Linked DNA regions of Sus scrofa. The protein of the gene in region 1 interacts with the protein of each later gene in a biochemical or structural test. Links are inferred from orthologs where the notes say so. Each region holds a gene or a part of one and is shown in the gene's direction. Other genes may lie near its edges. The genes, in order: ABCC4 and MPP1.

The links.
Region 2: the proteins of ABCC4 (region 1) and MPP1 form a complex in vitro, tested with the Homo sapiens proteins (2 studies listed by BioGRID and IntAct, with this or other methods). The link is inferred for Sus scrofa from reciprocal best matches to the Homo sapiens genes ABCC4 and MPP1.

What each region holds. Positions count from the first base shown.
Region 1 is NC_010453.5:64,135,074-64,138,889, reverse strand, and holds part of ABCC4 (multidrug resistance-associated protein 4), read left to right. Parts: intron 1-819; coding exon 820-970; intron 971-1,383; coding exon 1,384-1,503; intron 1,504-2,576; coding exon 2,577-2,687; intron 2,688-3,587; coding exon 3,588-3,688; intron 3,689-3,816. UniProt on the Homo sapiens protein: ATP-dependent transporter of the ATP-binding cassette (ABC) family that actively extrudes physiological compounds and xenobiotics from cells.
Region 2 is NC_010461.5:125,232,242-125,234,960, reverse strand, and holds part of MPP1 (55 kDa erythrocyte membrane protein), read left to right. Parts: intron 1-132; coding exon 133-239; intron 240-877; coding exon 878-958; intron 959-1,652; coding exon 1,653-1,733; intron 1,734-2,719. UniProt on the Homo sapiens protein: Essential regulator of neutrophil polarity. Regulates neutrophil polarization by regulating AKT1 phosphorylation through a mechanism that is independent of PIK3CG activity.

The sequences.
Region 1 (3,816 bases):
ATATACGAATGGCTCTGAGTTGTGAAAGATCATTGCGTATTTTCAGGAGAAAGGTTTCACCCAAGAATTGTTTGAAATGAATATTTAAAATACATAGCACAATGATAGAAGGTTGCCCTGTATGTCGGGGTCAAGTTTATGTTTATCATAATGGCTTCTGACGTGGGTTCCTGAGATCCATGGCTTCTGCTTTGTGGTCTCAATCAAGTTGCTTTTCCTCTCCCAGTGCCTCAGTGTCTCCATCTATAAAATGAGACTGGACTATTACTAGTAAGGGTACTGCGAGGAATGGTGAGTTCACAGGAGTGAAGTATTGAATGCACAGCCCTGCACATTCAGCAAATGTTAAGTACGCAAAGAAAAAACAAAAACAAACAAACCAAAAAAACCCAACCTAGAAAGAGGAATTCTCATTTCCAGAGGTCTACATTTGAATTTTTCTCCCTTTCCTGGTCTTGGAATTTGCAATTAACCCTTTCTTTATCCATACAGGTATAGTTGAGGCTTTTGGATTCCTCATCTGTGTTACCTGCTTGCTCTAGTAATACCTACTGGTTCATAATTTGGAACTCAGGTCCTGCTGTCTGAGTCTGAAATAGTCCATCTGTTAAAAATCATGTTTGGCACATAGTAAGCTTGCAATAAACATGAGGACCACCTAAATTTTTGTTTTTTTTCTTGGATAGGAACGCATCCCCTACTTTTCAGACTTGCCTTTGGTGGAAAGGAGTTTAAGCCTAAAAAAATCAACCCATTAACACTTATTTTTGATAAGAATGTTTGATAGAGAGGGCTCTGTATCTATTTTCTTTATTTCAGACATTTCTACAAGTGATGGGTGTGGTGGGAGTCGCGGTGGCGGTGATTCCTTGGATTGCGATTCCTCTGATTCCCCTTGGCATCATTTTCTTTGTTCTTCGGAGATATTTCTTACAGACATCACGAGATGTGAAACGCCTGGAAGCTACAAGTGAGCACCTGGGCCCTCTGGGATGACAATGCAAACTAGCTTCCATTTATGCTGTAATTAGTAAAAATATTAATAAATAACCATCATTATTAAGACAAAATCATGAAGTAGAATTGTTATGTTTAAAAGAAGTTATCTGGACAATGTTTATGTCAGAAACCTTGACTGGATGGTTGCTGCAAATTAATACTAACTTTCTAGAAACCAAGCCAAGAAAGAGGTATATTGTGTTCCATAGTTCTCTGTATCTACTTCCTTTCCAGAAGGGGTGTAATCCCTCCTCCTCCAGGCAGCCCCCCAGGAAGCTCCCGGTGTGCCCTTTGGTGGGAATTGCGACCCCAGGGTGGGGGAGGTCGTTTGTTTCCTGGCATCCAGGCTCCCTGACCTTCTCTGTCGTGTCTCTGCTTCCCCAGCACGGAGCCCGGTGTTTTCGCACTTATCGTCTTCTCTCCAGGGACTCTGGACCATCCGGGCGTTCAAAGCTGAACAGAGGTTTCAGGAGCTGTTCGACGCTCACCAGGATTTGCACTCAGGTCTGTACGTTTCTAGAAATAATTTCAAGAGTTGGGATATGCTGCCTTCTGCGGCTTGACCTCCTTCTCAGGTGGCTCTCTCTCTGCGCTGCCTGCCTCTGCACATCCTCCCCCACCCCTTCCTCAAAGCATCTTCTCCGTTCCCTCCGTGTCCCCAGTCACACCGCTATTTTACTCCCCTGACTGGTTTGCACGGTCCTTGCATCATGGTGCCCTGTTGCTTTGTGGACCCTGTTGCAGCATTCAGTAACCCTTTTTTTTTTAAAAGATCCAGACAGTAAAGTAAACATTTTAGGCTTTGTGTGCCACCCTGTCTCTGTTGTATCTAATCAGGTTGCAGAAAAGCAAGGCAAACATAATACAAATGGCCATGGCTGTGTTCCAGTAAAAGTTTATTTGCAAAAGTAGGTGATGGGCTATTCCTGGCCCCAGGTTGTAGTTTGCCCCTCTCTTTGCAAAGCATGCAAGGTGGCCTAAGTGACTGAGGAAAAGAACTGCCTCATAGTCCGAGTTTCCGCCCACTTGATGTATGTTATTCTTTGCAGCAGTGATATTTTTTCCTTAGGTAGAAATTTCAGAATTTCCCCTAAGTCTGTAAAAATCCTGGCCCACCTTTCCAATCTTTATTGTATTTCGAGCTTAAGAAAGGCATTTTGCAAGCCACGTGCAGATCCTGTTAGCTGCTGCGCTCTGCTCTCAGAGAACTGGGAACGGTTGCCACTATGAGAGGATAAGCCTGACACCGAGGCCCAGCCCTGCAGCGAATGTACCCATTGTACCGTTTGTCCGTGTTCTTTATTACAGTTATATTTCTGTTTATACCCCGTGGGTTGAAGTCTCCCGTGCTTGCGTCTCACAAGGCCCCTGGCCTGATTCCTCTGTGTCCCACATGTCCTCTTGTGTCAAAATCTTGCTTTTTGGACTCTTCAGGCTCCTCACATGTTCAACTTGGCTGTCCTACTTTGTGTCACAATCTTCTGTCGCTCAACCTAGCACAGAGCTCTCCCCTACTCAAAGCGGTTAAGATGGTGTTTCTGCTTATTCACTCTCCTTATTCCGCTTCACAAATCCAGAGGCCTGGTTCTTGTTTCTGACCACGTCCCGATGGTTCGCCGTGCGTCTGGATGCCATCTGTGCCATGTTTGTCATTGTTGTTGCCTTCGGGTCCCTGATTCTGTCAAAAAGTGAGTACAGATGTGAATAACTGTGCTACGATCGCAGTTTATATAACTGCATTTACAGTTATTAAGGGAAACTTTTGCTACCTAGTCGAACATCAGAGGCTGTATGGTCCCCATGACATGTGTTCAGGCATTGGTAGTGTGGGGCTCAGGCGGAGGAGTCATTTGGGTCTTAAGCACACCTTTTATCCTTTTATCTTTTTTGAGTGGGTCGAGGTCTACACCAGTTTAGCAAACTGACCATATTTGGGAGGAGAGAAGCACACTTGCTTTTTGTGTAGGTTCAGCGCTTTAGGATTCAGCTGAAGCGCTGCTTGGATCTTGCGGTTGCAAGTGCCTGATAGACTGAGGTGAGAAAGATTCTCTAAGAGAAAACACTGCCCTCACTGCTGTGGGTACCAGAAGAGCAGGCGTTGACGCGCCTGGCATGAAGTCACCGTCCCTAACTATTCCGTCATAACAACCCAGAATTACAATCTTGAATAATGGAACAGTCAAGAGTATTATTTTAGTTTTCAAAGCACTGGTGTTCTTAGAACCCATTGCCTTGTTTTTCGTGGTTTCCAGCTGCGGCTACTTTGGACGTAGAAAGTGAGATTATCAGTGAGACCATAATGACGCAAGTCTGAATAATAACACGATTCCCCCACCTGTGTGGTGCTGTGCAAGTGTATTGAATAGCTTTCTGCATTCTTCCGATTTGGATTTTTTGGTCTGTTTTTCTTTTTTTTTCCCCTTCGTATCATCGAGTCCATCCGTAGATAGTCAAAGTACAAGTAATGCTATTGTCATACGCACATGATTTAAAAATCGCAAGGGAGTCTTGGTAAAGTGATGGAAGTGGCCGGGCTTGAGGGTAAGCGTGGCCTTGATGTTATTCTTCTTCTGCTTCTTCTCTTGCAGCTTTGGATGCCGGGCAGGTGGGCCTGGCGCTGTCCTACGCCCTCTCGCTCATGGGCATGTTCCAGTGGTGCGTCAGGCAAAGCGCCGAAGTGGAGAACATGGTGATGTCTATCGTAGCCTTCCTGGCTTTTTCAATTCTTCTTTCTATTGAACGACCTGCATGCAGTTCTCACGTAAAATAGCTGAAACCGTTATTTTCCATTGTAGCTAACAGACTCCCATCTGTTTA
Region 2 (2,719 bases), on another chromosome or scaffold:
AGAGGCCCTGGGTCAGAGAGGGAAGGGGAGCGGGGGTGAGAGAGGGCCACACGCGGGCCGTGAGGGGCGCAGAGAGAGCCGGGGGCAGGTGCAGGGAAGGAGGCGGGTGACCCGGGCTGTCTCTCCCACCAGGCGAGTGGCGAGCACAGCGCAGTCGGCCCCGAGCGAGGCTCCGAGCTGCAGTCCCTTCGGGAAGAAGAAGAAGTACAAGGACAAGTACCTGGCCAAGCACAGCGCGAGTAAGCGTCCGGCTGCGGCTCCCGGGACCCACGGGGCGCGCAAGGCGGGCCGCGTCCCCTCTGCTGCCCCTGGGCCTTGCCCCCCGGGCCCGGCCCACGGCCCGCACGGCCGCCGCGTGTCCGTGTCCGCCGCCTTCCAGACCTTTCCGCCCGAGCGCGACCCAGTGCAGGGTCTGAGCAGCCCCGCGCCAGGCAGGCGTCCCCGAGGGCTGGGTCTGCCTGTGTTCCTGGCCTGCTGAGCTTGGAAACACCCGAAAACGCGCGCCGGTCCGAGCGGACTGCAGGAAACGTGGGAATGTGCCAGTTAGACGCCGCCCTCCCGCTCCTGCCCGTGCGCTTCTGGATCAAAACAGGAAGGCGAGCAGCTCCCGGAACCTGAAATCCCTGCGCCGGCAGGAGGCCTCGCCGCTGGGGGGACAGAGCCAGGCCCGGGCTGGGGGCCCCATCCGTGCCCCCGACGTCGGCGCGGCTGCTGGCGGCTGGGGGGCGGGACGCGGGCGACAGACTGGGGAGGGGGGTGGACGGGGAGGCGGGCGGGCAGTGGCCACCCGGACGCGCCGCCGTCACCCGCGCCCCCTGCTTGTCCCGGACACTGTCCCGGCTCCCGAGGGAACTTTGCTGGGTTTCTTCGTCTTTAGTTTTTGACCAGTTGGATGTCGTCTCCTACGAGGAGGTGGTTCGGCTGCCCGCGTTCAAGAGGAAGACGCTGGTGCTGATTGGTATCTGCCCGCAGCCTGGGGCCCCCTCCCCTCCCTCCGAAAAGGGCAGTGAGAGGCGGAAGCAAAAAGGCACACCCGAGGACTCTGTAGGGCCATGACCGGGACACCCCCCACCCCCGGGGTTCACCTTAGAAGCTAAAGGAAACCCGGCAGGAGTCCGAGCAGCTAATTCTCTCAGGTGCTCTGTGCACCTGCCGGCGCTCGGGTGTCCCCCCCACGCGGCTTTAACCGGCACAGCAGGGGACCCGAGAGCGCGGGTGGGGCCCCCTGACATGCCGCGTGCGTCCGGGCTGAAGAGATTAGCCGGGTTAGAGGATCTACATCCGGGTTCTGTTTAAAGTTCAGCACAAACTCTGGCTTCAGTTCCGTTCCCTTAGCTTTGGAGAGCGCCCAGCAGAGCGCGTATGCCTAGAAAATAAACAGCACATCCCGAGAGTGAGCTGGCTCCTCCGTGCAGATGACAGGCTCTGAATCCTGATCCTTAGCCTGTGGGAAGGGCCTCGAATCCTCCTCCACTTAAAGCAGTGCTTGTCCCTGACCCCAGCCTGGAAGCTGTGCCAACTCACTGTCACCTGTTGGTGATGTCAGGCTCTGCCCATTCATGTTCCAAGCCCCAGCTTTGTTTGGGGGGAAGAGACGGGAGCCCCCATTTGCCTCACAGCGGCCTCTGTGTTCTCCCTTCTCCCTCACGCAGGAGCCAGCGGGGTGGGCCGGAGCCACGTCAAGAGTGCCCTGCTCAGCCGGAACCCGGAGAAGTTCGCCTACCCCGCGCCCTGTGAGTAGCTGGCTCGGGGTCAAGAGTGGCTTTTTGCTCTGTGATTCTACCTTAAATGTTTGATTACAGAAACAGACGAGTGGTTCCCGCTGTGGTGCAGCGGGATCAGTGGTGTCTCTGCAATGCCAGGACGCAGGCTGGCTCCCTGGCCCAGCGCTGTGGGTCAAAGGATCCGGTGTTGCCGCAGCTGTGGTTACTGCTGCAGCTCGGATCTGATCCCTGGCCCGGGAACTCCATATGCCCCGGGGTGGCCAAACTGAAAAAGAAAGCAAGAGAAACATGAACATTTGGGTCTAAGATCCACATTTGTACCCATAATTGCTCCACATAACAAAGGAGCAATGCTGTTTGTCTCCCTAGCAGAAGCCGTGCTAGCCGTTTTTATCCTGCTCTTAAAAATGAAGTAAATAATGTTCTTAAAAACTTACATTACTTTTTCCATTTTATTTGTGGTATCAACATCTTCCCATATGCCCGCATCACTCTGAGCGCTCTTCCAGGCCCACTCGTTTTCACGGACTATTTTCCCAGTCACAGCCGTGCTCAGGCAGACCCCCGCGTGGCAGCGGCTGCCCAGAGAGAAGAAGCGGGCTGGGGGTCAGGTGGATGCTGAGATCCTTTCCAGCTCCAGAAGTGAATCTGTGGAGAAAGCTGGATGCTGAACCTGCTAGTGTTTTTTTCCTTGCCTCTCCACGTTTGCCTTTAGGGACATTCTGGGGTCAGAAAGCAGAAGGCTGTGGAGGTAGAACTGCCGGACGGCTGTTCCGACGAGTACCGATATGAGTTAGTTGTGTTCTTTCCAAAGGATGAGGAGGAGCCTTGACCTTAAGGAAATCCTGCCTGTAGCTTGTAGATCTGTCTGGAAAACATTTCCCGCCGTCACGCCTTCATTTCTGAGCTCCAGCGTCCCCGGGGCAAGGGGGATAGGCGAGCTGTCAGCCGGGCCTCGGGGGCAGGCCCTCTTGGATCGATGGGTCAGGGCTCTG